Struthio camelus: one gene and its partners. Each later gene encodes a partner of the first gene's protein in a complex. Links are inferred from orthologs where the notes say so. Each region holds a gene or a part of one and is shown in the gene's direction. Other genes may lie near its edges.

Region 1 (7,490 bases):
GAAAATACTGGATTCAATTTCAGATTCCAGCATTTGCAATTTTATAATTGTTTCCTCTGCATTAAACCTGCTCAATAACACCAGCATTATTCTGTTAACAGGTGAAGAATCCCCTTTCAAGTCATCTGCCTCGACAGCAGCTCAGGGCACTGGTAAGCTCCACGCATTTTGGCTACGTGATCTGCACAGAGGAATCACAGAGCTTCTAAGCCTGGAAAATGTCTAGCCCAAAGGAGTAACAGAGCACTCAGCCAGCAGCAGAGAAGAAGAGTAGAGGCTAAGAGTTTTCAGGCCCAAGTGATACAGTAGCATCCAGTTTTTTACAACTTAAACTGTGGACATGTTTTTCTGCCTTGGTGATGTTTTGTTCTGGTTTATTGAAGACACTCCCTCTTATTATTTAGTTTCTATTTTTCTATTCACTCTTTTTTGGACTCCCCTGTCCCAGCCTATAGTACGCATAGTCTCACTTCGTTTCCTCTGTTCACCTGCTCTTTCTTTTGACCCATCTCTTCCTCCTTAAGAAAATAGTATTTTCAGTTAAATCATTCAGAGGGCTAAACCACGGATTCACAGTTTCTTATTACTAGGTCCCTTTGCACTTCTGTTCACTGTTCATCATACCTTCCAGGAGACTGTCAGACTTTAAAGGCAAAACAGCATGCACAAATTGCGAGGCTTGGGAATGATGCAAATAATTACCAATGATACAATATATCTCTTCTAAAGTGTCTTCTGTCTTGTAAATAAACATAATGTTATTTGAATCCTCTTTAGCAACACTATTTTTAGCAACAAATCTGGGATACAACACCCTGAGTTGCTATGTTTATTGAAGATGGGGTTGTTTATCTCTCATTAGTAGGGCAGACAAGTCAGAGCCTGAATCAAAAATTCTAGGTCATGGGAAAACACTAACTTGTCTTACTATAACACAAATTGGGAGATATAAAACTTGTATGACAGAATCAGTCCTTTGGACAAAGTCATACTAGAAGAGAACTGCTATTATCAAAGCAATACATTCTAAGGACAAAATTTCTAAGGCTGAGTAAAAAGAAAATGTGTACTAGGTGTTTTCATACACTGAAAATATACTTTGAGCACACAAATGCAGATTTAGAATGCAGTTACTCTAATAAGGAAACATTTACAAATCTTGCTCTATGTAAGCAACAAAATAAATTTCCATTTCACATTCTGTAATGGTTACCAGTGATCACCAATAGTCATATACTGCCTGATCAGAGAGCAACAAATAAATAGAAATAGAAACTGAATCTCTTCTAGAAAGACAAAACAATGGTCAGCATTTGTATTGTTTGTTATTCATATTCACCTTAGTGAAAGCAAGAAAACAGTATCACTTTTTTTTTCTGAAACAGAATTTTAAAATAACTTTTAATGTCAATGGCTTTGTGGATAGAAGTGGGACTTTTTCAGATTCACTTCAATCTAGTGTGGATAGAAGTGGGACTTTTTCAGATTCACTTCAATCTATTGGATGTAACGCATAAACTGTTCTGAAATAATGGATTAAGTGGAATGGGCAAGAAGCACTGTTGCTTCAGAGTGTCAATGTGCAAGCCATACTTTAAAATGTCTCTGAAACATTACTTTGGAAGAGCTCTTCCGTGAATTTCCAAACGTGGACAGGCCACAGATGTTTCACAGAATCACAGAACGGTTGAGGTTGGAAGAGACCTCTGGAGATCATCTAGTCCAACCTCCCTGCTCAAGCAGGGACCTCTAGAGCATATTGCCCAGGATCACATCCAGGCGGGTTTTGAATATCTCCAGGGAAGGAGACTCCACTACCTCTCTGGGCAACCTGTTCCAATGCTCTGTCACCCTCACAGTGAAGAAGTTTTTCCTCAGGTTTAGGTGGAACTTCCTGTGGTTCAGTTTCTGCCCGTTGCCTCTTGTCCTGTCACTGGGCACCACAGAGAAGAGTCTGGCCCCATCCTCTTGACACCCCCCCCCCACTTCAGATATTTGTACACGTTGATCAGATCCCCCCTCAATTTTCGCTTCTCCAGGCTGAACAGGCCCAGCTCTCTCAGCCTTTCTTCATAGGAGACATGCTCCAGGCCCCTCATCATCTCTCTAGCCCTCCGCTGGACTCTCTCCAGGAGTGCCATGTCTCTCTTGGACTGGGGAGCCCAGAACTGGACACAGTACTCCAGGTGAGGCCTCCCCAGGGCTGAGTAGAGGGGCAGGATCACCTCCCTCCACCTGCTGGCAACGCTCTTCCTCATGCAGCCCAGGATACCCTTGGCCTCCTTGGCCACAAGGGCACATTGCTGGCTCATGGTCAACTTGTCCACCATGATTGCCAGGTTCTTCTCTGCAGAGCTACTTTCCAGTAGGTCAGTTCCCAATCTGTACTGCTGCATGGGGTTATTCCTCCCCAAGTGCAGGACCCTGCACTTGCCTTTGTTGAACTTCAGGAGGTTCCTCTCTGCCCAGCTCTCCAGCCTGTCGAGGGCCCTCTGAATAGCAACACAGCCCTCTAGTGCGTCAGCCACTCCTCCCCGTTCTGGATCATCAGCAAACTAACTTGCTGATGCACTCTGTCCCTTCATCCAGGTCACTGATGAGTAAGTTAAACAATATTGGACCCAATACTGACCCCTGGGGGACACCGCTAGATACAGGCCTCCAGCTAGACTCTGTGCCACTGATCACAGCCCTCTGAGCTCTGCCACTCAGCCAGTTCTCAATCCACCTCACCGTCCACTCATCTAGCCTGCACTTCCTGAGCTTGCCTTTGAAAATGCTATGGGAGAAGGTCAAAGGACTTGCTGAAGTCCAGGTACACAACATCCACTGTTTCTCCCCTCCTCTACCCAGCCAGTTGTCCCATCATAGAGGCTATCAGATTGGTCAAGCATGATTTCCCTTTCGCGAATCCATGCTGACTCTTCCGGATCACCTTCTTGTCCTTCACATACTTAGAGACGGCCTTCAGTTCCCTTGGTTCTCCTTCTTGCCCTTTTTGAAGATTGGAGCGACATCTGCTTTGTTCCAGCCCTCAGGCACCTCTACTGATTGCCATGACCTTTCAAAGATGATTGAGAGTGGCCTAGCAGGATGTTGACCTTTGACTTGTTCTAAAAATCTACTGAAGCCAAAATATTCTTCCCCTATAATACTTAGCTGCTTTTGGGTAACGTTTCTGGGACTCAGTCTGGAAAGATGGTGAGTAGTCTAGCCCATGTAATTAATAATACAGTGAGACTACAGCTTTTCCTTGCTGCCTACATTGAATTATCAACCAATTTTCCACTCACAGAAGAAGCTGCTGACCCAACTGGTATAGTTAACAAATTTAGTAATTTAGGAATGAGTGTTAGGAAAGACAATTAGATATTTTTTCCGAGTTTTGTTTTCCAATTAGGATATATTGATTCTGGTATCTACCATAAAAATCACCTCATCTTCTTTTTGCTTTTTTAAGTCTTATACATGAAGATTCAGCAGGGAAATTAGTTGTGCATAAACAGTAGTTCTAGCAGCAGGAGAAATGGTGAAGCTTGGCTTCTTGCCATTTTCTGTTCTTGTTTACAAGCTTCATCCTGAGGCCTGTCCCTGATAGCATGTTAAAACTCCACCCTACTACAGTAGTCGGTGAGCATGTATTCAAAATTTACTCATTTTTCATCACCACTGATCATCGCTGTTGTCTTGCTTCCATGTCATCCATCCTCACCTGGGCCACAGATGTAAAAGTAAGGCCTTGTATAATATCATGCCTTAATAGGCAAGTCTCAAAAATGAAGCTACGTTGCATGCTACAGACACCCAAACAATTCTTCACTTTTTAACCATTGTGCCTATTTTTTGTTAAAAAAAAAACAAAAAACTTCCCAAACTGTTCTTCTAGGGTACTAGTTCTGCACTAAAAAAAAAAAGCAGAACTGTTAGCGACTGAGCACCGCTCTGCAAAAGCATGACTGATCCAGCCTTCCTCTTTTCTGGCACCTAGTCCGTAACGACCAATTTTTCTGCGGAACAACTCGCACCGCCGTGTTCGTGCTCTGACCCCCACAGCGGAGCTGCCCCAGCCGCGGAGGCCGGCGGCCGGCGGGCGAGCTGCCTGGCCCGCCCTGCAGCCAGGCCGGCCCTGCTGTGGCTGACCCGAGGAGGGGCGCAGGAGGAGCAGTGCTAACCAGCCCCTCCGCTGCCGGCTCCCCTGTGAGGGACCCCGGGAGGCAAACACCGCCCGCCGGCGGGGAGGCGGTTGGGAGCAGCTCCCGCGCCCTCAACACGGCCCAACTGCCCCGGGGGCGCGCCGACAACTCCCCCTCTCACCAACGGCCGCCCCGCCTCATCGCAGCCCCGCCCCTGTCACCCAATCACATGAGCGAGCGCGAGGGCTGCCGGGAGCGGGCGCTACCTGATGGGCTCGTCTTAGGCGCGACATGGCGGCGGACGGTTGTTGAGCGGCCGCGGCGGAGGCAGAGGCAGCGCGCGGGGGAGGCGGCTGGTGCTGGAGATAAGGGGAGGCCGCGGCGGTGAGCGGGCAGGCAGCTGGCTGGCCGGCCGGCGGGGCGGGCAGAGGAAGGTGGCGGGGCCGGCTGAGGTCCCCGGGCGGCGGCAGCGGCGGCGATGGCCCAGTGCGTGCAGTCGGTGCAGGAGTTCATCCAGGACTCGTTCGTGCCCTTGGTGGCCGCGCTGTGCAGCGAGGAGGCGGAGAGACTCACCCGCAAGAACAACCTGAGCTTCGCTGAGCTGGTGAAGCCCTTCTGCCGCCTCACCTCGGAAGGTCGGTGCCGGGAGTGGGGCCGCTTGTTTACGTGGGGGCGGGGAGGGCGGCGGCGCTGCCTTCCGCCCTCCTGGCCCGGTCAGTGGCCGGCGGGCCAGGGCCAGGGCGGCGAAGGAGTCTCGCCTGTCTAGGCCTGGCCGGGGTTGTCGCCACCCCTTCTCTGTCCTGCTGCTTGCCAAGGTTGGCCCGAAGAGAGGGAGGCAGGTGGGACCCCTGCCCCTTGGCCAGGGTGGTGGCAGCCGGGCCAGCTGTTAGCCAGGGCTGGTGTCATGACAGGCTATGCAGAGGTGCAAGGTTGCCAGGGTTGCCTGAGGTGACTTGTAAATCTGTCTAATTGTATTTGATCTTCTCTTTCCTGTGGAGCCATGGGCATTAGGCAGCTCTTGGAGACATGACAAAAGGCTGAAGGGAAAGGTATCTTTACATGTGGTTCTTCCAACTTTTTTTTTTCTAGCATTGCACTGTTGTCTCACAAATATTTACAGCTGGAACTTTTTTTTTGATTTCTTTTTTTTTTTTTTTGGAAATTATGGTAAGGCTGTTATTAAAGAGAGACAGTTACTGAAAGTGTAACTACTCTTTTAGAGTGTTAATTGCAATTTCAGCTGTAAGTCTTTGCCTTCTCTCCCTTGTAGTTCTATCAAATGTGATTTTTGTTGTTTTTCTGTGTAACACCTGTGTAAACAGAAGGAGAGGGATGGACTGCTTATGTGGCATAGAGATAAAATGACTTTAGCCAAAATAGTATTAAAACTGGAAGTTGACCACTTTAGAGAAACTGTAAGGCTCCTTTACTGTAACACAAAAAAAAATTCCAAAGGATGATTTGAACTAAGCTGTACTTTTCAGGATACTGCTCATTAAAACGGTATGCTGAACAGCAATCAACAGAACTGCTCAACAGAGTAGCAGTGCCTTGGTATTTTATCAGATTTGGCTTCTAGCAGGCACTCAGCTCAGAGGTTTATCTCTTACTGTGTTATGTTGAGGAAACATTGCAGGAAAACTAAGCTTGTACTGTTACTTCAGCTGAATTCTTGTATTACTGTTTAGGTGAATGGTGCCAACTTAAAAGCTAGTATGTGTTGAAATCTATCTTAATTCTGATGCAAATCTTAGCAACTTATTTATAAACAAGTTATGGTTAAATATTATTAATATTTTTCCCTTTTGTTCTTTAGCAACACTCATGAGCCACATGAGAATATAGCACAAATAAAAATAATAATGCAGAACCTCAAATCCTTGAAATTCTCAGATTTCTTAAATATCTCTTTAGGTTCTTTAGCAAAAAAGCTTTCAGAATGCATTTAGCGAACACAACCAGGTAGGCAATTCAGAATGGAGTATTCATTCTGAAGAATATTTGCTCTGTTGTCACTTAGTTGTAAGTGTTTTTATTCTAACCATTGTAACAGTTAAGGAACTTTCAAACCTCAAGCCTCTTCAATGCTTCCTGCGTAAGTGCCATAATATAACACGCTTATCAACAAAATCAGTTTCATCCTCCTTTAAAAATTTTATTAGTTAATTATGGCTAAAGATCAGATTCCCTCCGTGTGTACAGTATAAGATTTTGATCTTATTTTTAAGAGACTGATACTGACTGAATTTCTATACTGTTCTAAAACTTACGTAGAAAAGCACTGATATTTGATTTCTGTAACTTCTGATGGTTCTGTAATTGCTCTTCTCTAAGCTCCATGATGTAGTACTATAAATGAACACCCACATGAACTTGATGTAAATCCCCATGATAACAGTTTTCTTTTCTTAACTTCATAGCTGTGACTATGTCATGATGAGTCGTTGAGAAACAGTGCTGCTCTTGTTCTCTCTAGGATTGGACAGTCTAAACTATCCTATTCAAAACTTGACTTATGGGTCAGAGAACTGAGAATTTGAGGTTCATAGCAGTGGATTTTGTTGCTATGCTGCTCTCTAGGTATTCTGATTCAATAGACTGCACACTTGACTGCATTTCTGCACTTCAAGTGTGACTTCCTCTTCTAGTTTCATGGAAAATACATTATTATACTCTAAGTAACTTCTTGTCATGAAAGCCAGTGTGAATGAGGGTAGGAAAAGCAGTACTAGACCTTTGGTTCAGACAGAAGGGTAGATCAGTGCGATAAAACTTCTTAAGTTTGTATCATGGCAAACAATTTCTGTAGCTCTAGAGTTTGTGGGACTTTATGATAGGGAAACTTAGCTTATCACGGTTTGTGCAAGCACTGTTACATTTACAGTCATAGTGAGTGACGTTGTTAACTGTATCCCCTGCAGAAGACCCTGGAAACATAGGATAGGTTCTAAATTGTACATTCATAGGTTTGATCAGACCATTTCTGCGATGCATGTAATGTCCAGATAAGAGGCAGAGAGACGTGATTAACAATATGATTGTAAAATAGCGGGATGTATGCATATATGCATCTAGCTGTATAGCCTTCACAACTGTGGTGTGTTGTATTGCTTGTGGTTTGTTTGGTAGCTTCAGTTTTAAGCCCTTGGAAGGGAAGGAAATATTGTGTGAGTGAATGGCTGGTGTTTTTTTTGTGGGGGGGGGGAACTGGTACTCCGGCCTTTATTTAGTGGCGACCTCATTGAGTTCTTAATGTAAAATTGGGTTAATTTTTATTTCATCTCTTTGGAAATTAGCTCTCCCTTGTACTCAGCAAAACCTCAAATTATAGAGGAGCTGAGGAAGTACCGTATGTGT
Region 2 (7,792 bases), on another chromosome or scaffold:
TGGGAACACATACAAATCCTCTGCAGAATCAGTTAAAAAGCTGAACATTTTTCAATTAACACATCATTTCATTAAAAGCAGAGAGCGTCTGCAGAAGCAGCTCTATTTTGAGAATATAAACTAAGTTAAATGTTTTAGCATTGTGATCTGAAAAATAACGTTACCATTTAGAAATTACGTTCTTAATAACGTGATTTACTTATCAGGGCCCGTTAACAAAACGCACACCTTTTAGATGTCCCAAATGCTCTCCCCAAATAATATTTTCGAAAATTGCACTTTTGTTACAAATTAAAAAGAAATAATAATAATAACAAAAGATATCTTAAAATTTGTACTCTGTAGGAAGCTGTTTTGATCAGAACTAACATTTCACATAATTCATGTAAAATAAGTAAAACAGAGATCATAGATTTAAAGTAATCAATTTTATAAGCAAAGAGACTACTGATCCTGATTCCAGCAAGACGTCACTGCTATAAAAGTTAGACTCCCATACTGCTCAAACAAAACAGCGTTACAGCGAACAAACCTGTTTTGTCAGCTAGCTTTCGTTTCTGAGTTTTGGATAACTGCTCCTTTTTATCTTTCTTCTTACTTGCTGGCACATCAGGAGTTCCAATTGCAATACTATTGCTTGCTGAAGTCTGAGAAGGATAAAAATTGCTATTAATATTTTGCATTCACCTATCATACTTAAGAAGCCAGTATAAATACAGAATGAAGATATCTGAATATGATTACTGAACCAGACCTACTGAAATATCTTGACTGTCATATATATATATATATAAAAATATATATAGAAAAATTATGACCACAGAACATTGTGGCACCATATTCCATGTGCCACTGTTTACTTACTAACATGTTTATATGCAGTATACTGATTAACATGTTAAAGACGGAATGATAAAGTATTTAGAGTTCTAATAACCATTTTTTGCTATTTACATATAAAATATTTGAGAAGTGATTTAAAAGCAATAGATTAGGATCTCAGTTTATCTACTTACCACAGTGTTAACAGGCTGATTTTCCATGAACAATTCTTTATTATCTTTGGCATATTCAAAAAGCGTATACGTCATAGCAGTTCCAAGATTAGCTTCAACTTCTACCATTAATTTATCCAATATGCTTTGTTTAACTGTTGAAGATCTAAAAGAAATCATAAAATTCAGTTACAATCTTGACAGAAGAAGAAAAGTTTGTCAACCAACAAATCTCCCCAATATATAAAAATAGGGAGTGAAGCTGTCCTAAATATTTACATTGTGTTGTTGAAGAAAGCATCCATCGATATGACTGGTGCTGTTTGTGGATATGTTTCTGGCCAAGAAACTTCTATTAGAAAGGCTTTGGGATCTCCATTTTCACCTATCTGGAGGGAGAAGAAAAACCTCATAAATTAACAGTTTTCAGTTGCTCATTAAAGATTACAATGCCAGTATGTGCATCTTTCACTTAAGACTATTGAAATTTCTTCTGAAGATAACAACTATTTTCATGCTATTACCTGTCAGAAAATAAAGCTCTTATCTAGAAAAGAAGTATTACATATGAACATTAACCTCTACTCTGCAGTTTTCATCCTATGAAAATGGAGCAGAAGCATTCTAAGTTATTTTTATGGAGATGTTGCTTGGTTTTAAATGCTTCTTTGTAGTGTCTACAAGGCAAATACTACACAATCATATATGAGAAAAGAAAATATGAAACCTTCTTTTTTCTCCATTATGAAAATAAACCATAACACAGTGGTGAAATACAGAACAAAATAAATTAATGACCTAAGACAGCACAAGTAATAGGTAAAAATTTTAGTATTTTTGTCTTACCCTACAGATATTTTAGCTTACAATAAGAAAGAATGACTCAAAAGAACAGTCAAGAAGCCAGTAGAATGAAACTAGGCGGAAAAGAAAAAAAAAAACATAACGTTATGTTAAAAAAGGCTCACTTTAACCGAAATAACATCTAAGTCAAACACTCTCTCAAACACTTAGCTTTAGTGATTCATTTAAATTGTATTTATGATCCTTACGATTATGTTAACTTCTGTGAAATAAAAACTAAAACAATTTTTTACAGAAAATTAGTATAGGCTAACAAAAATGTACCACAGAAAAAGAAATAAACATTTCATACATGGATTTGTTACACTACTGTAATTAAGTTGGTTTAGTTAGTATTTTAAAACCACAAGAAGAATTTCCTTAATTTTAGAAGCGTCAAAATCTGGCTTCATCGACCTATGCGGAATGAAGTGCAGTCAAAAAAAATTCCTAATCGAGACAAGGCTACTGCACTTTAAAATGGTTCAAAATTCAAATGATCCCATTTCAATATTTTGAAATCAGTGTTTTTCATTTTGTTTACGGTCTCTGTGTCAGCAGAGTAGACTAAGTGATATTCAGTGGCATCTGTTTTAGGGTTAAAGGCATTAAATCAGGACTCTGCTACATTTATCAAGACATCATCCACGGTGAAGCAGTCCACTTCCCAGAGCCACCATGAAGAGAACTGGTGGTATGCTTTACAGAGTTTTCCTCATGTCAGGAAAACACTGCCTGCACATTACAGAGTAAAACCATAGAGAAAGATGCATGGTTACCACTCCTCCTGTCAGTGCAGCCTGCAAATTGGGCAGCCTTACTCTGAATGATGCTGCTACATTTTCCTCAGGATTTGAAAAGTCTTTCTTTAATCTCAATTTTTTTAGCACAGTGATTACAAAATACCTATGTGGTAGGCAAATGAGGTTCAGAAAAAGAGCATATTAATTCTTTCAACTTTATCATGCAGTTAATCGTACTATACTATCTTATAATGCACATTTTCTTTCACAAGAAATATGTGCTATGGTCTCTATCTGACACTAAGTATATAATATTTAAATTGGGTTCTCCTAATTTTTCCATGATTATTCTCTGTCTATGAAAAATTAGCAAGGACAAAAGCTAGCCAAATGTAGAATGCAACATTGTATGTAGGCAGGTAGGCAGGCTACATTTACTCTGCTGAGAACAAAAAATTTGCAAAGAAGCAGTCCTATCAATAAAGGAAGACTGCACTTGCATGGGTGGGATTCAAGTGCTATTTCCTAATCAACCTTTCTCATTACAATTAAAGGTGCTATTCTGAAGTCTTAAGAAATCATCAAAATGTTTTAGACGCCTACACCCCACTTGAGGGACACAGCAAGTTCAGAGTTTTTGTCCCATGTGCACCTAAGTTTTCATCAGTGAAGTTCTCTGACAGTCCAAAGGTTTGCCTCAGCCCACGCCCAGGAGAACTTCCAATTCATCATATTTGAGAAAGACGGCAAGAAATTCATGCCAAAGTGAATTGCAAACCTCAAACTAGAACCTCCTGCACTTTTCCCCAAAGCCAATTACACCAGTATACATACCGAAAGCATTTTGTGCATTTTCCTCCTTAGCAGCTAGAAAAGGCACATAAACTACCCCCAGAGAGAAAATGAGAACCTTGCAACTGAGCAATAAGGAAGGCGCAGACTTTACACATACGCTTTTCTGTAACTGTCATTTCCTACTGGCTATTGCAAGTATTACTCGGCATGCTCTGGCCAGTTTGACAGTTCTGTGCGTTACATACGCTATGCGTTAGACAGATGTGCAAGCAGATTACCTAGTTAAGGGATAATAAACGCACACTGGAGGCAGGTGCCTAAATATTAAGCGGTGTGATATCAAGCATCACCGTACCAAAGATTCTGGAACAGCAGCCGACAGATCTAGCCTTTGGTGCCTTTACAGCCTGTGGAGCACCCCTTTGCGTTACAAAAACTGCGCTGTACCTACAAAACGCACAGAGTAACGTCACGCCGAAGAGGATGTTGCACCGTCCGACAGGAAAACATCTGCGTCGCGCGGGCAGCAACGCCTTGCCCCGACCTACAGAACTTCACGCTGCCTTACCCTGTACTGGAAGGAAACCGGGCTCAGCTCCCTGAAACACGCGTCTCCTTCGTATATAGACCGCAACGCTTCCAGTTCCATCTGGAGGAAACACGAGAGAGCGATTAGCCATTTCAGCCGGGGGGGGGGGGGCGAAGCTCAAGACGCGGCCCCGGGGCAAGGCACGACGCTAGCTCCCCGGCCGAGGCCGGCAGCGCCCGGCACGGCCCGGCGCCAGGGGGCCTACCTTCCTGACGCCTGCCCGCGCCGCCCCTGCCGCGCAGGCCGCTTCCGGCCGCCGCCTGCCCTGGGCGCCCCCTGCCCGCACGCCAGGCCCCTCCCGAGGCGGGAAAGGCCGCCGGCGGACCTCACCTCCTGGTCCTCGTTGGCCGCCATGTCGCGCGCGCGGCGGGGGGAGGCGGCGGCGGCGGCGGCCGGAGGCCGGAGGCAGCGGCGGCCCCCTCCGCCCCCGCCCCCGCGGCCGGTTCGCCCCGGCAGGACCCCGCTGTCGCACAGGCAGCGCGGCGCGCAGGCGCGGAACGGCTGAGCGGCCCCGCCCTCCCCCCCCGCGAGATGGCATCACCTCACCTCATTGGCTCTTTTCTTCTTCCCGGCCTCACCTCCCCCGCCCCTCTCTTCCCGTTGGCTGGCGCCGCCAGCCTCGCCTCGCTTCCTTCTCCCGCTGACTGGCTGCTTCTCCAGTGTCGTCAGCACCCGTGTCCCCTCTGAGTGGCTGGAGGTGGGGGAGCAGGGGCACCTATTGGTTGCTCGTGCTGCCCGTCCGATTCCCGGCACTTGCTTCGGCCCGCCCTCGCCCAGCCGCTCCTAGGCGGCGGCGGTGGCGGTGGCGGTGGCGGTGGCGGGCTGTGTGGGGTTGAGCTCGCCGCGGTGAGCGGGGCCGGGCCGGGAGCGGGGCGCCGAGCCGAGCCGAGCGGCGGCGGCCGCCTGAGGTGCCGGTGCCGCCCTGCCGGCCGCGCGCGCCGAGGCCGAGGATGACGCCGGCGCAGTGGGACTTCCCGGTGGAGCTGTGCTGCCGGCCCATGGCCTTCGTCACCCTCACCGGCCTGGACGTGGTGTACAACGCCGTGCACCGCGCCGTCTGGGACGCCTTCTGCGCCAACCGCCGCGCCGACCGCGTGCCCATCTCCTTCAAGGTGCTGCCCGGCGACCACGAGTACCCCAAGTGCCGCACGAAGGTAGCCGCCGGCCGGCCTCGGGCCCTGTGCGCGGGGGCGGGCGCGCAGGCCGGCGGCGTGGCCCGGGGAGGACACGGGGGGGGGGGGGTCCGCCCCGGTGCGCCGTGTCCACCGCTCGCTGAGCTGCTAACGGCCCGGGTGCCGCTCCCTCAGCTGGTGTGAGGGGAAACGGGGGAGCCTGGGGGCCTGGGAAGGCTGTTGGCGCCTTTCGGCCGCCGTGGGGAGGGGGAGCCGCGGTTGCCGTGGTACGGATGTGTGGGGAACCAGGTGGCCTTACTTCAGGAGCGGCGAGCAGAGCACGTTAACGGGACTTGCCGTAAAAGCGCTTGCCCGTCAGTTGTTCTGTTTTTAAGGTACTTGCAAAGTTTGAGCTGTAATGAAACCTTAAGTTGAACGCTAGAAAACCAAGTATTTGAAATTAGCGTGTCCTGGAAAAAGTGAAGTCTTTACCTGAGTGGGACACAGCAGAAGGAGTTGTTGTGCTCTATTTTCTGCTTTGCAGGGGCAGTTAAGAAGCAATATCGGTGGGTTTGATCCTTGGAAAGCCACGTAATTCAGTGATGCTGGCAAGAAACTAAACCTCAAACCGGTTTCTCTTTTCTTGTTTTGGATCCTTTTGACAGCTTCTTGAGCAAATGGGAAACCCTTTGCAAAATGGGCCTAGTACTTCACAGAAGCGCGTGAAACACTTCTGAACCTAACCCTTTTGTAAAGTCTACCTGGAATCTCTCGTTCTTGGTTACTCGTGTCTCTGCCATCTGGCTCTGATGCCTGGGAGCGAGGTGTATGTCCTGCTTGTTAGGAGACAAAGGCTTGAAGGGAAGAATGTCAAAGGAAAGATGACAAACGTATCCCCAAGTAGCAAGGATGTACAGGCAATACCCCTTCTCCTACTGTACTGAAAGGACCATAAACTGACCTGATGGCTTGCTTTAATGTGTTAAATATTTTCAGAGAACGTCCTATGAGTGGTATATTCCGAAAGGTATCCTGAAGACCGGTTGGATGAACAAACACCTGAATTTGGTTCCAGCACTTGTTGTGGTGTTCTATGAACTAGACTGGGAGGAGCCACAATGGAAAGAAAAACAGTCTGAATGTGCTACTCGAGTTGAAATTGTCAGGTAGAGCTATTTTGTCTAGTTCGTGATGTACTACAAGCTAACGGCGATGTGTAAATTGCAGAATCCTTGTGGCATTATAAAGCATAAATATTTTTTTTCTTAGGCACAAATTCAGGGCAACTCAAACTCCTTAACTATTGTTTTCTAAACTCAGCACAACTGTTCTCTCCCATGTGAGCAAAGAAGAGAGCACTGCATTCTGTGGATGATGCAGTGTATTGTTGCATTCGCTTTTATTTCTCGTATACAGTCTTTTAATGCTTCCATCTAAATTGAAATCTCATTTTCTTCTGATTATTTACAAACATAGGATGAGACCTTGACATTATGTTATGTTATTTTTATTTTAGGCAAAGTTTGCAGGGACGAAATACGAAAGTTGCTGTGGTTTTGATTCAGAAAAAAACACCGTTACCTCCAGGTACTAGAAAGCTAATTAAACTGCTCTGTATACAGTTGTGATGATCTCATTTTTCCAGAAGGCCTGAACTGACCATCGTTTGTCACATTATCTACGGTTCTTAATATATTATCATTTATGTGTGTAAAATGCATTTGTGGCTGCACTGAGCTGTACGAATGGAGTGAACGCTCAAGGCAGCTGACCCTAAAAATCTGATGCTTCTGTTTTTGACTATTTCCTCCGAAGTCCAAGTGAAGCTTTTGATACTGTGTATCAAAAATGATATGTTAGTGTAATATGCATAATGTGTCTCCTTGTAAGTAGTCTGTATTTTAAAGCTTTCTGGAGATAAAGGAAAAAAAACATAAAAGTAATGAGAGCTTAGAGGAAGGGCATCTGGTAACTACGGAACCCTTTAGTTTAAGACTATTCAAACACTGCTAGTGTTTATCAATAAAATTTTGGAGCATAAGGTAGGACTGCTTGTTAAGTTCATTCATGCCTTCTCAGCTAGCTTCTCTCTGGATCAGCCAACTTTTAGGCCATACCTGTTTGATAGACATCTGGCAGGGAAGTCATGGAATTTCTCGGAAGGCTCCTTCTCTGCTCTGGATTTAAAGGAGAGCAAATTCCCCTTAATGGAGGGGCGAAGGAGTCTTTAAAAGACAAGATCCAAAGTAGGGAATGTGGACAAAAAACACATGACTTAAGTGGAATTGTGGAATTTGGTGGGTTTTAATTTTAAATTTCACTCAAGCTGCTACCTCAGCTCTAGCTGCACGCTCTCTAGCGTTTGGTTAAGGTAGGGTGTTTTGGTGAGGGGTGTGTTTATGTGGGTTTTTTTTTTTGTTTGTTTGTTTTCTCTCCATCTGCTTCTGGATGCCATTTTAGTCTTCAAGATACAGGATGTTTATCTGTGTGGGAGATTAAAAATTTAAAGAAATATTTGTGACATGCTTCTACCTTATTACAGAAGCTTTCTGGAGTGGCTTAGCTAGCAATCTCTTCCACTGGATGAAGCATGTAGTGTTCTGAATGAAGTCAAGAAGGAACACGTACTCAATGTTAGGTGTATTAAATTTTCCATACGTTGTATTGGTCAAGCTTTTAGAGCTAGTTTGACCTTGCACTACACAGTGCTTACTT
Region 3 (7,178 bases), on another chromosome or scaffold:
TACTGTATATTCCAAATTGGTAAATATAGGTCAACTCTGCAAAGAACAAGTAAGAACTGGATAACTTCGCTGGCAAACAATGGCTCTCAACTACACCCCTGAGATCCTGTTTATTACAGGCACATAACTCAGGATACTGATGAAGTCTACTAAGGTTCCTTTCAAAAGCATAACTTTTCTGTACTGAAGTGTTTTGCAGCTATTACTGTTGCCCCTTACTTCTTATCATGATCCATAGTCACATCACCCAGCCCTCATTTCATGAGAGGCAGCATCTCACGCTTTAACTCATTATCCATTACTCTGCAGTTGTCTCATTTTCACTGCAGTTGGAGGACCTGCTCCGGTTGTTGTCAAAGTTTTAAAAAACACCAAAGAATCACACATGCTAGAATTCACACAGATTATGCACGTTTGCACAACATTCATATAGCGTACTTAGACATTGAAGAGGCAGAAAACCACTCATTTTGAGAAACCACACTTTGTGGGTTATAATGGAACTGTGGGAGTGCATGAACCATATAAAAAGAAAAAGCTGCAGTCATCTGATAAAACAAGGGAGGGGAAAAAAGCAGATTAAAAAACCTAACTAATCAGGCAGAAAACTGAATTAATCATCAGTTTTAATCTTGCTTTGCCATTAGATGCTTAGCTTTTTCTCTGAAGAAAAGCTGCTTCTCACCGTTATTTGGTAAAACTTTTTGCCAAGTAATTACATATACCAAATAGTTATACACAATTGCAGGGCTCACGATTTATACCTTTAGTTTCCATTTTCATTCATCAGAACAGTGAATGATGGAGTTCTTCTAAGGAAGACACTCTTATTCTGCTGAGCTTTATTTTGATGAAAACTAGATTCAAATAAAAAAAATAGTAAATGATTTGTCTACTAGTAATCTTAGTTATGTCGATATATAAAAAATACTTGGCACGTAAAACTGATAATAAAATTATTGCAGTTTGATTTCCAGTAACTTAGTGAGTGGAGCACCCCAGAAGCAATATAAGCTTTATGCTGTCAAATTTTAAAGTCTGGGCACACTGGATCATATCAAAAGTATATCAGAGATTGGTACACTGTCTGTGACAGCAGTCAAAAGCAGGTTCTTACCGACTTTTGGAGACAAATGTGGTTTCGTAGTCTGCAATCCCTAGCAGAGCTTGTAGATTTCACAGTTTTACCACATATCGTTTTTATTCAAAGCAAGAAAGCAGAAAACAAGTTCCCCTCCCAACCCTTTTCTTCTTTTAAAAAATGCTCCATCATTTCAAATCTCAACTTTGAATAAACAAAGCCCTAAACTCTTTTTTAGAACTGAAGTAAAGTCTGGAAATAACTGAAAGAGCCAAACACAAGCAACAACAACAAAAATTTTTTTCAATTGCACCAAAAATTTTTTCTGAAGATATGCATCCCTCAGTTAAGCGCTTCTGATGTATGCTGGAGAGAAGTGTAAGCTGTGATGACAGAGCCATTACGAAACCAGGCTTAAAAAGAATAATAATATCTTTTACTAGACCTGGTGACACAAGTTAGAAAAACCATACCCATTTTAGGTTTCAGCCTCTCCATTAGAGACCGTCTCAAAAAGTACTGAGATGTAATTTGCTTTAAGGCCACATTGGCAGTTAATGGAGATCAAAAATAGAGCCTCCATCTCTACGCTGCTTTTCTGCCTTAGTCATAAAACCATCTTTTCTTCTCCTATTTTGTTTCTAAATGCATTAAGTGTAGACTCTTGGATTACAGCTATCCTCTTAGTCCTTTTGCTCCATCCTCCCATCAGATAGTCCTGTTACATACTCTGCAGGAAATCAAATGTCTACAGGAGATGTATTTTTTTTTTTTTTTTGGCAGGACCATGGGGGTCCCAGACAATGGTCTTTCCAAGATTTTGGAAGACTTATTTTACACAACTGAAAAAAGAAACTATGATTTTCATTAAAATACAAGATATAGTCTACTCTGTGATGAAAAAGAAATCTATGCATAAATTTAAGCTTTATATTAATTTTGAAGTAAGAGTTGCAGCCATCTTTAGCCAATCACAAAACGATATCATATTATGAAGACTCTAGCAGATCTAACATATACTACAGATCAATGTTTACACTAACTAGTATAGAAATGGAAAACAAAATAAAACTACAGTTTGCTAAAGAGATTTGTCGATACAGTCCGGATTACTGAGCATATAACTAAATAGGCTGGACATTAAAACAGGACATCAAAACCCAGCCCAGGGAGCCACTGCAGGTTGCCAGAACACGTTCCATGAGCACTTTGGTACAGGCGGCTATAAAATATCTGCATGTGTATACATACAATTACTTAGATAACCCCATCCACTGCAAAATGAAAGTGTTGTTCTGTCAGCTGCAGGAGGAACACAGCACCTCCTGTTGATACTACAACAATGATGGTAACCCAGGCATTGCCAAATGGAACATGTAAGAGCTGAGTAAAAACTTAATTGTGGAAAAGCATTATAAATTAGGAGCTCTCTCATCTATGCAACTGTTTAACCATTTATTCTACTAGAACTCATACAAAGTTGTACGTGACATCTGTGCTCCTCTACAAAGAGGATCAACAAATTCAAAAGTTATTAAGAGTAACACAGGTAGGTAGCAGGATCACAGCATCATCTCCCTGTTGCTAGAATCAGCGATGTGACGGCCAAATTCATGCTGTGGGACAAATCCAACAATGCAGAAGCTACATCCAGAAATATCTACAAACATTAAGTAGTTCAACAGTTGGGTATAACCTAATAAAATCTAAAATTCATTGGAAACAGCTATATTGCCCTCTTCTCACAAGATTTTTTTTTTTTTTTTGCTTAGTCTGCAACTGGAAACCAACCACAGGAACATCCTTGAGATCCCCGGTGTTCCCCAGTCATCCCAGCAGGAGACAAGGCCTTCTCCAGACGGGGACATGCAATTGCTGACAGAGCAGAAGACCAACAGCCGGGCTGAACGCGACCGTTCAGGAAGCCAACCCACAAGCCCTGCTGGCACCGCCCTGACGCATTCACCGTGCAAAGCGCCAAGTTTGGCGGCAGGCACCAACTCCTGCCCCGTGCTCACCCGCTCACGGCCCGGCGCTGCCGCAGGGCCGTGGTAGGGGCGCGGCCGGCGAGGCGCAGCGGCGGGCGGCGCGTCCGGCCTCGCCTCACCCCGCCGCCGCCTCCCGCTGGGCACCGCCAGCGCCGCGCCGCGCCGGCCTCCGGGGCGGCCCCGCGGCTCTACGCGAGGGCCCGGCACCCCCGCACGGCCCGGCACCCCGCCCGGCCCCACAGGCAGCGCGCCTGAGGACCAGGCAGGCCCCGCCGCCACCGCCGGCCCCTCCTCGCCCACCTGGAACTCCAGCCCGTAGATCACCGGCGCGTCGTCCTCCATAGCTGCCCGCCGCCGCCGCCCGCTCGCCTCTCCCCCAGCCTTTCTGACCCTCGGCGCTGCCCGTCGGCCGCCGCTTCCGGGAGGCGCGTTGGCGCAGGCGCCGCCCGCCCGCCCGGCCCGCGGCGCAGGCGCGGTGGGAGCGGCGCTCGGCGCGGCGGCGGTGCTGGCAGTGCGGCGGTCGGCGGGGCGGCGCTGCGCTGCGCTGCGCTGCGCTGCGCTGAGGTGAGGGGCGGGGCAGGCGCGCAGCGCGGCGGTTGCCGTCGCTGCGGCGGCCCCTCGCCGGCCGGGGACCGCCCGGGTGGGCGCTGAGGCGGCCCGGGGGGCGGCGGGCCCGAGGAAGGGCGGCGGCTCCGTCCGCACCGCGCCGCGGGGAGGCGGCGGCGGCGGTGGCGGAGGCCGCTCCCAGCGCGGGCGGCCGCGCTGTGCCCGGCGCAGTGCAGCCGCGAGAGCCGGCTCCGAGCCCGGCAGCGGCCGCCCGGCTGGGCCTGGAGCAGGGCCGGGCCGAGGGCCCGGGCCCGGTCTGCGCGGCGGGCGGGGGAAGCGCCGCTACCTGCAGCCTCGCTGAGGTCCCGGCTGCCGCCAGAGCTTCTGCGGGGCCGCCTGGGCTGGCCCTGGCTTCAGCAGCCCCTGGCGACAGCTGCGGCTCCGCCGGGACTGAACCCGCTCTTCCCTTCTCGCAGACTGGGGCTGAGTTAATCTTTCCAAGTATTTGGCCTTTGCGAGGCCAAATACCTTTTTTTTTTTTTTTTTAAACCTGTGTTTCATCGGAAGCATTTGCTCTTGAATCCTAGTATTTTGGGACTTCAGAACAGTAAAGAATAAAGAGAAGACCTTTTCTTATGATGAATTTATTCTGTGGTAAATGCCGAGAGAAATGTCAAATAGTGAAGTGGTTGTATTTTTAAATCAAGTATTTGTTTAGCTGTTGAGTTTCAGGATAGTGATTTTGACTAGGGCTTCAGTAGCAGAACTAATTCTTCCTTCATTTTTCTTTCTTTAGTTGCAATGGAAAGTAATGGGAGTAATGCTAAGGATGCTAAGAACGCTTCAGATGAAGAGGACAGTGGAGACAGAGTTCAGCAGAAAACTCGGGAAGATATTCTCTTTCATGAGGAAACCATTGATCTTGGCGGAGACGAATTTGAGTCTGAAGGGAATGAAACCGTATCAGAAGACTCTAATAATTTTATAGATAAACTTAATGAACAAATGATGGAGAGTGTCATTATTTCAGATTCTCCAAACAACAGTGAAGATGACACTGGTGACCTTGGTTGTCTGCAGGAGATTGTAGAACAAATGGAAGCCAAAGACAACCAAAAAACACAAGCAGAAGTGGGTAAGGAAGAGTTTTTAAGTAATGAGAGTGAAACTGAACATGAAGAAACACCCAAAGACATTTCTGAGATTGGAACAGATGATCAGACATCTTTAAAGGAAGAATCAATTCAGGAAGCAGTGAAAGAGGAACTGAAATTGGTAAATAACATTCCTGTTGGAACAAGACCAAGTGATACTGATGAAAGCAAACCTAAGGACCAGCTATCATCACCCAGTACTGGCAAACCGACTCCTGAAGCTGAGCCTATCCCTGTGTGTACCATTTTCAGCCAAGCAAACAATGTTAATACTCAGCCACAGTTGTTCCTGCATGATGGTTTTGAGCCTCAGATGGTAAAATCTCCCAGTTTTAGTAGTATAACTGAGACTCCAGTGAAGTCTAATCCACAGGTAGTTCAACCAAGTCCTAGTCTAAGCAAGTTTTTTGGTGATACTGTTAACACTAATACTTTAGGTTCTGATTTTTTTGATTCATTTACCACATCCAGTTTTATTTCTGTCAGTAATCCCAATGCAAGCTCTTCAGTCCCAGAACAAATGTCCTCTATTTCTTCCACTGGAGACAGTTCTCATGCTTCGCCTGACCCTACTTTTTCTCTGGGAAATGGGAGAACTGAAGCAGGTGGTCCTCCAGAAATATCTCAATCCCCCAAGCCCTTCTCACAAATCCAGGCTGTTTTTGCTGGGAGTGACGACCCTTTTGCCACAGCCTTGAATATGAGTGAACTAGACAGAAGAAATGATGCTTGGCTCCCTAGTGAGGAAACTAGAAACGTTCTAATTTCAGTTGCCACACAACAATACAGCACTGTGTTCATAGACAAAGAGAATCTCACCATGCCCGGATTAAAATTTGATAATATCCAGGTAAGAGTCTGTGATTATATGTTAGTCTCTGAATATATTTTAGAAATATTGAATAAGAGCTTTCCAATAGTTGTTACATCATCTTAGTGCTTCATATTGTTGCCTAGGGGCACCTTGTTTGTATTACTCCAATCCTTATCAGAAAATTTAGTGTGACTGCCTACTCATACGTGAAAGGACTAAAATAAGATCTGATGTATTCGTAGTGAAATTCTTTGGGTACATTGAAGACCAGTGTTGACAGCTTACGTAGAATCCGAAGCTGGTTGCTATTTTTAAGTCTTTTCAGTTAGTTTCGGCCCGTTCTAGTTGGAAAGATTATGCTCAGATTTGGAATATAAACTAAATCAGAATGCTGTCCTGTGAAGTCTGAAGGCAGACAGCTTTGTTTGCTTGTGGAATTCACTGTTGCAACCAAGCTGGAAAGAACGTTTTTTACAGTGATGTTCACAGTGCTGTGGATAATGTTGACACTGACTGGAATTGCATCATTTATATCTTTCCTAAGCAGTGGAAAGGCGTAAGCTATAGGAAAGATGAGTGCTAGAGCCAGCTGCTGGGAAGGAGCGGCATTCCAATTAGATCTTGAAGGGAAGAGCATAGTAGTGGAAACCCATTTCCTTCTCTTGTACCAGAGTTCACAACTGATGAGAAAGCATAAGGCTTTTCTTCAGAGTTCGGAGAAGTTTTACTTAGATCTGTTAAACGCTTCTAGTGAAGGAATTATATATCCTGGCAGCTCAGCAAAGCCAAATGGAGTTTTTTCTTGAAATAGGCAAATCCTACTTTTCCATATCTACGTCTGAATAGTAGAGTTGTCATCTAGAGAGGTAGTGTTGAGGGTTCAGATATTTAAGCCTTAATAATAGCATAACAAAGATTATCAGTTGGTAGCAGAATAAGGGTTCTTGCAGAACGGTCTGCAAGAACTTCTCAATTTGCAGTAACTATCGGAAAAGTTCCTGGAGTGAAAGTAGTTCGGACTTGTACCTGAATTATTTAAAAAATCTTAAGTTTCCTTTTTTGTGTCTGTCACTGAAGCAACAAATGAAAGATTTAGACATACACCATGCTGCTGCTGCTGCTGCTTCTTGGGTTAGCTTTATTTTAAAACGTTTGATTGTCATTGTAGAACCCAATCATTAGTGTGAAAGAAAATACTGTGGTAATATGCACCTCCTCCTCTACTTCATTCTACCTTCCCAAAAAATCACTTAGAGCTTGATGAGTAATTCAAGATTGTAATATTTCTCTCCTAACAGCTAATGAATGAAAAGAAAGAATATTTTCTTCCATGAGCCCAAAGGACAAGGTCCCTCTTATTGTGGCCCTCCATTTTTGCAATAGTTCTTTCTCGCTTTCTTCAGTTGAGTCAAGGCTTAAAAGGTTACTTGCACTGATCATCCCCTGAATCTAGGTCATATGCATATATGCAGATGTACCATTCAGTACATCATTGAAAAGAAGACATTTCAGCTGACCCGCTGTAAAATCAAGGAAGGACTCAAAGGGGATTCCTGCTACTTTCTTCATGGATTACTGTTTATAAACAGCTACAT
Region 4 (7,910 bases), about 25 Mb from region 1:
ACTTAAATTATCTCATAAATACTGTTGCATCCATATCATTACTGAAACAAAGTCCAACAGAGGCAATTTTGAAAAGTTATTATACTTTTAGCGACTAACCAGATTATTCACTCTGGCTTATGAACAAGCTGTGAGAAAAGGAGGGAATTGCCCACTTAAGGTACAAGTAATCAAAGATGAGGAATATATGTTATAAAACTGATTACAGACCACTCTCTTTACTACCTAATCACTTCATTTTACTTTTACATCAAATAAAAATGAGTGCTCATTTAACTGGATAGCCATCCCATTTATGTTCTGTGGAAATTGTTTTTCTGTACTCAAGGAAGGTATTGTTCAGGGCAATAATGATGGACCTGTGACAAAACAGGACTGCATGCTCTGAAAGCATGCCCATAAGGTGCTCGGAGAAAAACTGGGCTAGGTACATCTCATCCTCAACCCATATCCTTTTCCCATATCTGTTCTGAGCTAAGTGTTAAAACAAAAATCTCAGTACCAGCAAAAAATGTATATGTGCGTGCACACATATACTTACACACTAAAAAGGGGGAGTGGAACCAGAGAATGACTCTCTTTGAGAATTAAGATTTGTAGATTTACATCTGTAGTTTCTGGGATAACAGAAGTTGACACAGAAAGACCTAAAGTGATCTCATTTTATAGGCTTGAAAGCTTTCAGATTGCGTTGTTTGCATCTAAGAAACGGATAGAGCAATACACAGAGGACTAACAGGCCTTGTGTAGTTTCCCAGCACTGGAAAAATACCCATTCTTTTGCAAAGAAGTGTTTTCAGTGATGTAGTTCATGAGGTACAGTCGAATGCTGTACAGGACACTAACAACCAGTAGGAGAATCGTGTCCTCACAGAACGCTTCTGTGACAGCACCGTTTCATTTTCCAAACTACATCCTGGATTCACTATTACTCTACAGATACCTGCAAGGAACTGAAAGGTTTCACACTCTTCCGCGGTGTGAGACAGGTCACTGTAAGTTAGAGCGCTCTTCTCCTTGCCTCTGCCATGCTTGTAGGAGTAGGTAGCCAAATACTGTACAAAAAGCTCCTAAAAATCAAAACGAAGTCAACAGTCAAGCAGTGAATTAATACATAGAGTTGGTAGCAGTTGTCGTTAATCCCCACTTAACGCCCTTTGCTCAACCGTACGTATTGTGGGACGCCCTGCGCAGAGTCCCACGGATTTCAGAAAGGCTCAAGGTCAGGATGTAGCTGAGGGAACTTCACTCGCGCTGCTCGCCAGGGCCTCCCGCAGCCCAGCAAGCCGCAGGCGGGAGGGGAAAGCGGCAGGAGGCGGCCTCCACACGGGCTCGTTTCCTGAGCGCGGTGGAAACGCTGGCTCCCGCGGGCCCTGGCGGCTCGGCCGCAGCGGACGGCGCCCAAACCCCCCACACGACAAGCAGCCAGGAGGGCGAGGCTTCACCTCCCGCTTGCGCGGGTAGGAAAGGGCCGGAGGGAGGCAGCGAGAGCTGCTGCGGCGGCGGCGGCGGCGCCGTTGGGCCCGGCCCCCCCCCCTCACAACCGGGCCCGGCCCGGGAGGGGAGGTGAAAGGGGCGACCGGTACCGTGGCCTTGGCGGTGAGGAAAAGAGCGTCTTGGTTGATGCTGGAAACCTCCGGCGAGCTCTTCATGATCACGCGGATGCGCGAAAGGGGCAGCGACACCAGCCGGTTCTCGCCGCCGCTCAACCGCGCCGCCATCTTCCCCTCCTCCTCCTCCTCCCCCACCCCCAACCCCGCCTGGCCTCCGACCGGCGCCGGCCCTCCAAACCCGGCCGCGGGCGGGCGGGGATTTGGGGGGGGGGGGGAATAGGCGGCCTCTGCAGCACAGCCTGCTGGGAACTGTAGTCTTCGGCCACTAGAGGGAACGCCGCGCCCCGCGGCTAAGCAGCGAGGCTTGGACTACAAATCCCATGAGGCACCGCTCCGCCCGCCGAGGAGAGGAGGGGGAAGGACTACAAGTCCCGCCGTGCACCGCGCCTCCCGCGGGAGGAGCGTTCTTCCCGTGATGCACCGCGGGCCCTGAGGCGATGGCGGCGGCGGCGGCGGCGGCGCCGTTGGTTCCTCAGAGCTCGGCCCGGCCCCGCCGTCGGGGTTCCCCTTCCCCGGGCCCGGGAGGGGGCTTCTCTCGGCGCCGGCTGGTGCCCTGCTCCCTCCCGCGGCCCCTCCGCGCGGGTCGTAGCCCCAGGCGGGCGCTTGAGCTTCGGGAGCAGCCCCGCCTCTGTCTACCCTAATTACAGGCCACTGGCTACCAAATTATTCACGGATCTGTAATCGCAGGTGGCTAAATACCGCCTCAGCTGCTGTAGGGACAGTCAGAGGGAGGGCTGTGACGCTCGTGGGAGGTATTTAGATGCGGAGGGCCCGTGGAAGGTATTAAGTGATAATAGGGCAGTGTCTTTGTTATTAACACGTTCGGCCTGTGCAGGAGCGTACCGCGGTGCGTCTCTGCTCGGGTGACTCGTATCCCGCTTCCCAGCGGCTGGCGTCCGCTCAGGCCCACCGAAGGCAGGGAGGGTTTTGCTGCTGATAAGGCTGGACCGGAAAGTTCGCGCGTGCCTGTGAGGATGAGACCTGCCGTACTCTGCCTCTCCGCGAGCAACTCGGCGCTCGCGGAAAGGATAACGCGCTGTTTGCGTTTCCTTAGTGTCTTTATTCAAAAGTTTTCAGTGCGCTTTACGAGCAGTGTGCCTGATTGCGTGTGTTGGTAAGAAGTCTGCTAAGGTCACTTATTTGATCGCCGCTTAATAGACGCGTAGAGGCTTTTCCACGGCGTGCAGAAATAGTACGTGTCGAGTTTGGGGCAGAAAGGGAAGTGTCAGTAAAGAGAATTGTATTAAATTGAAAATGCAGGGAATTTGTTAGCAGGATATAATCAGCTGATGCAGGTTTTGCCCAGTACATAAGGACAAGGTTTTCATACAGGTGATGTTGGGTTATTAATGAAAAATAACATCTTCAGCACATGTCGATACCTGAGTGCAAGGGTGATGTGACAGTTCCAGCACTACAATATTTGGAGACGTCTTTTCCTATTAGTCTTTAAAGACAATCTAAATCTCTTAGACTGCAAAGATCCCTTGAGGTTACAACTTTGTTGATGCTATTCTGTGGCAGTTACAGCTAAAGCGAAGCATAACATAGTATGATGCTATTTTGCAGGCTCAGTTTCTTTGATCCTTATCTACTTGTGACATCTTGTGGAAACAGTTGACATTGCCATGACAGTGAATTCTGCTGGTATCTTTCATGATTTCAGTATATGAAGTTACCCATGAAACTACCAAAATTTCTGATGGTGTTGAGCCATCTGGATATGGGTTTAGGAGCCATGTAGATCCTATAGGAGCTAGGCACCTGTCAGTGGTCCTTTTACTCAGTGGTGGACAATGTAGCGTAAAGTGGTCTGGGCAAATCGGGACGTGCTCGTTTTTGTCTGGCTCCTGTCCCACTCTCAGGCTTTTCCCTTCACCCACCCACTGCTCCCAGAGTCAGGGCCCATGGGACAGCTCTGTCATTCAGCACGGTGCTGGGAAGAGGAGGGCGTTCGACTGACAGAGGACGGGAGTGGGAGCACAGCAAACTTCTGGCATCTCTCCCTTCCCACTGCTAATGCAGATTTGGTTCGCAGGAGGCAGAAGCACAATGCATGACACAAAGTGGATGTGTACACGCTCTGAGGATACCATTATACTGCAACGTTACTGGCACTTAATAATTATTTTTTTAGTACGTTTTGAAATGGCAGCATTACTGTGGTACCAGTAACTGACTGAACCTGTTCCTAATTAAAAAAAAAAAAAAAAAAACCACCCACAGATCTGTAGAGTTCAAACTAGAGTTAGTTCTTTTGAATCAGGACTGAACTGGCACTGTTACTAGGAATTATTCTTTAAACCTGACTTGGAACCCAGCTGAAATAAGTATCTTTTGTGATGAATTCGAACAAGTTTCACTGAAAACTAATATGCCCCAGTGGAAATCTCTTCAGCATAGAGACTATTTGTACCAATTACAAACTGCAGAGCACTGTCACATCAGTCTCTCCTTTTCTACTCCTGCTTGGGTCACTAGTCCTCCTTTTTGCTGTGCTTTGCGGCCTTGAATAAGAACCTGCTCAGTGGAGGTACTTTGGCACCTCAGGTGAGGTATAACTACGCTGTGTCTGGAAACACAATGGAGTGACCAGAGCTACAATTCTTGTCCCATAGTAAGGAATTGTTCCTTGTCACTGCCACCTGCCTACCTGAGCTTCCCTGCAGCGATCTCACTTGTTTCACTCTAAATATGTATCTCTGGGTTGTGTATGGACGTATTTCCCAGGAAAAGAGAAGAGATTAGACACGTTGTGCTCATCCCTCTCTCTCATTTCCTTCCTGCGCAGTGCAATGCCACAGTTTCTGTCGAGCTTCTCAACCTCGGTTTCCTTTTTAGGGAACTGGAGAGATGCTGCAGCACTGTGTTAACAGTATAGGTATTGTGCAAGCTTTGGCAGAAAAGGAGGCTGGGGTAATTTTCCTTGCTGCGGTCTCACCCTGTAGCATGGCTATTTTAATTCATTATCTGTGACGCAGTGCATATAAATCCCAGGTTACTGGTATGAACTATTAGTGTTCTGAACCAGAACAAAACTGTAACAAATTCATGGGCTGAATCTGAAACAGAACCTAACTGAAGAAAATTACTGATTTGACTCCCTAATTTACCAATTTGACTTCTCCTGTCCTATACTGAGTGGAAGTAGAGCTATTGTGGTAGTAAAGCTTCCTCTCAGTGAATAGTTGGCCTGCTCAAACAGGGACAGAACTCATTCATATGTACTAGTGAGCTGCCTGAAACTAGAAAAGAGTGCTGTATCTTTGAAAAATGCTTTCCTGTATCATTCCTTTATTGTATGGTATTAAAAGAAAAATCATGATAAACATGATGTATCACAATTCCCCATGGAAGGGAATCTGGAGAAGGTGTCTGCAGAATTTCCAAACGTCACTGAGATAAGTTAGAGTATTATCGGATAAAGAGCAAATATATTATAGAAAGAGCATGAAGCAATTCTAGCTGCACTGAAGCTCTTCCAGTTATTCCAGAGAGACTGTGATGAAGACTGCACATTCACATTGCTTGGCAAAGCCAAAGAAGTTCACGAATACATTTTCTTTACACAAAAGTGGAGCATAGCTAAAAAAATTGACCATTATGTTGCAAAGTGGCATTTTAAAACCAGCCCATGCACATTTAAGAGCATTGAGAGTAATTAGAGAGTAAATTATTTATGATCTGTAATCAGAAAAAAGACTATTGACATTGACCATTATGTTGTGAAGAACAGTAGGAAAGTGCTGGACCAGTGAAAAAATGTGTGTGAGTCAGCGAACAAGGGAGGAAGCAGAAGTCAATCTGGCAAAGCATAAACGCAGTATCTGGATAAGCAATTGGCACATGCTACAGTAAATGTAAAGATATATTAAAATAAAAAGCTGTTTATCATGAAATGCATACCATCACAAAAGACATTAACTATGCTGCAGTAGTGTTCTTGGCATCTGAAGCACAGCGATACGGAAGTAGCATTCACAAATAATGAGAACAGTTTATAACGAAGTTTATGATGAAGCAGAAGCGTTGTCTTGCACGAGGAAAAAAAAAAGTGATTCTGAAGGCATTTGATGACGTGTTATTGAGTGGGGATGTATAAGGCTGTATCATACTTGGAGATAAATCTGAGCCGTTGGTAAAGTAGATGTTAATGCACAAATGCAAATAGAAAATGATTGAATTGACAGTGGTCACTAATATGCCTAACCATTTTGAAGTTTCAGGTAAGACTCTCAGTGTAGGAGTTCCTCCGTTAGAAAAGCTGAAAGGATGAAGATTTTCAGCTTCAGAAATGTTTGAATGGGAGCCAGGTTTTCAGGCAAAAAATGCCAAGTCTGATCTTCCATTTCCGATTTTGATAGATGCCCATTTAGGTAACTTCTCTTCAGACTCGCTCCACCACCTGGGATTATGCAGGACATTATATACCCACAACCTGGAGGGTATCAGGAGACTGAGTAGCTTAACAGCAGTGTCAAAGCTCTAGATCACTGTGTTTACACAGCCTCAATCTAAATAATTTCCTAGAGATGCTAAAATATTAGATGCTCCAATTTACATTAATCGTAACTCTGCCTTTCTGCAAGCCATTTATCACCATCACCTTTTTGTCTTGCAAGAAAAAAGTGTGAAACAACAACAGACTGCTGAGATGAACTACGTCAAAAGCGTGTCTGAACCCCTCTCCAACCAAGGGTACAGAGTAGATTCATGAGTAACGATCAGCATTGGCTCTGTTCAGCTGAGCCCAAACCTTTAAGGTGCTTTGGTATCGCTGATACCACAACAAAGTACAAAGTGAAGTACCTGCATCGTTATTGTAGAAATAAATGTAGCAATCATGTTCCTGTGAGAAATGCTCCCAGTCACGTTCCTGGCAAAAGTATGTGAACAAAAAATGATTACTTTGTTTATTTAAAACTGTCACCCTCTACCCTCTCCATCCTAAATTTGGCTAAGCTTGACTATGGCTATCTTCCCTCCCGAAAGGGGTGTGCAGCTTCCTACCTTTGTATTCTTTCTGAAACAGAATGGCTCCATTTGTAGTTTCATCTGTATTATCCCTGAATTACTGTTAAATCAATTCACACCAGTTCACACCAAGCAATTGCTTGTCCATAATCTTCAAATAAGTGTTAATGCTATTGAAGTTACCGTTTCAATCTACAGTCCTTATCAGGCTGAATTTTTCAGTCACAATTGATTCCCACAGTGAGCTATTTTCTAGAATATAGCTAAAACTATTAAACTATATGCTAGCTGCGAAGACGAGAGATTTCTGTCTTAAACTCCCATTGTGACAGAACCTAATGCTGTGACACATTGTCCTACAGTGGCCAGTTTTTCAGTGCCTTAGGGGGAAAATGAGTAGCATGCTGGAAGAGAATGTGACATCCGGGGAAACGTGTCTGCTCTCCTGGATTACTGTGGAATACAAAAATAAACAGCTTCGTAAAGTGAGGTTGGGAGAGGTTTTGGGTGTTTTGTAAGCAGGGATGTATTTTTTTTAAAAGTAAAACTGTTACAGAAAAGTCTGGTAGCTGAGTGTTGATTTCCAGTTCTCTCCATAGTTGTCAAGAGGCCAGTAATGTGCAAAGAAGTGAGTTTGCATTACGTCCCTTGTGTCTTCACATGCATCTGTGAAGCTAATAAATGCGGTGCTTTCTAAGGAGAGACACCTAACTGTCAGCTGAGAAATCCCCAGCTCCTTTTTTTTCACAGAGGCTTTTGACTTGTCACTGGGAAATACATGTGTTCAGGTTATTCAAGTAATTATCATCCTAAATGGTTTAAGAGCATTCATTTGTCTGCATTTATATATAACGTTTGTGTGTTGGAAGTAGGTTTGTGCTCCTATGACCCTTCCCAAATCCTTTAATCTTTCTCCAGCAATATACTTGTGACAAGGTCTCCTGAATAGTGAGCTGTAAGGAGGCCATATTAACAATAATTAACTTAAATGACATTTTCTGTCCAAAGCTAGTAGTTAACTGTATTTTCTATTATCCCGAAAGTGTTTGTATAATAACTAGTTCTAAAAATTGTTTTAGAAAAGTTAAACTTGGAGGTAATTCAACTCATTTTCATCCCTCTCTTTGGGGGAAGGGCAATGTTTGCACCACGTGCATGAACCGTCTGCTGAGAAATGAAACGGCGACGTTCTTTTTCATCTGACAATGTTTCATCAGACTCTCTCATGGATAGAAGGTTTATCATTTAATATCGCTTTAAAGCGAAATCGATCCGTCGACTTCCCGGATTACAGCAGATTCCTCAGCGCGTGGTGGGAAGTAA

What was found.
Region 2: TRAPPC8 (region 1) and TRAPPC11 share a complex: the UniProt entries of both Homo sapiens proteins name them as parts of the multisubunit TRAPP (transport protein particle) complex. The link is inferred for Struthio camelus from reciprocal best matches to the Homo sapiens genes TRAPPC8 and TRAPPC11.
Region 3: TRAPPC8 (region 1) and TRAPPC12 share a complex: the UniProt entries of both Homo sapiens proteins name them as parts of the multisubunit TRAPP (transport protein particle) complex. The link is inferred for Struthio camelus from reciprocal best matches to the Homo sapiens genes TRAPPC8 and TRAPPC12.
Region 4: TRAPPC8 (region 1) and TRAPPC9 share a complex: the UniProt entries of both Homo sapiens proteins name them as parts of the multisubunit TRAPP (transport protein particle) complex. The link is inferred for Struthio camelus from reciprocal best matches to the Homo sapiens genes TRAPPC8 and TRAPPC9.

What each region holds. Positions count from the first base shown.
Region 1 is NC_090943.1:142,843,523-142,851,012, forward strand, and holds the start of TRAPPC8 (trafficking protein particle complex subunit 8), read left to right. Parts: upstream 1-4,471; 5' UTR 4,472-4,611; coding exon 4,612-4,768; intron 4,769-7,490. UniProt on the Homo sapiens protein: Plays a role in endoplasmic reticulum to Golgi apparatus trafficking at a very early stage. Maintains together with TBC1D14 the cycling pool of ATG9 required for initiation of autophagy. Involved in collagen secretion.
Region 2 is NC_090945.1:50,752,923-50,760,714, forward strand, and holds the start of TRAPPC11 (trafficking protein particle complex subunit 11), read left to right. Parts: upstream 1-4,784; 5' UTR 4,785-4,915; coding exon 4,916-5,119; intron 5,120-6,073; coding exon 6,074-6,243; intron 6,244-6,593; coding exon 6,594-6,664; intron 6,665-7,792. Other genes in the region: RWDD4 (RWD domain-containing protein 4), read right to left, coding at 533-647, 1,017-1,161, 1,275-1,384, 3,945-4,025, 4,296-4,319. UniProt on the Homo sapiens protein: Involved in endoplasmic reticulum to Golgi apparatus trafficking at a very early stage.
Region 3 is NC_090944.1:27,993,310-28,000,487, reverse strand, and holds the start of TRAPPC12 (trafficking protein particle complex subunit 12), read left to right. Parts: upstream 1-4,159; 5' UTR 4,160-4,250; coding exon 4,251-4,269; intron 4,270-4,411; coding exon 4,412-5,619; intron 5,620-7,178. Other genes in the region: EIPR1 (EARP and GARP complex-interacting protein 1), read right to left, coding at 3,370-3,411. UniProt on the Homo sapiens protein: Component of the TRAPP complex, which is involved in endoplasmic reticulum to Golgi apparatus trafficking at a very early stage.
Region 4 is NC_090943.1:168,238,631-168,246,540, reverse strand, and holds the start of TRAPPC9 (trafficking protein particle complex subunit 9), read left to right. Parts: upstream 1-4,899; 5' UTR 4,900-7,910. Other genes in the region: CHRAC1 (chromatin accessibility complex protein 1), read right to left, coding at 944-1,070, 1,587-1,721. UniProt on the Homo sapiens protein: Functions as an activator of NF-kappa-B through increased phosphorylation of the IKK complex. May function in neuronal cells differentiation. May play a role in vesicular transport from endoplasmic reticulum to Golgi.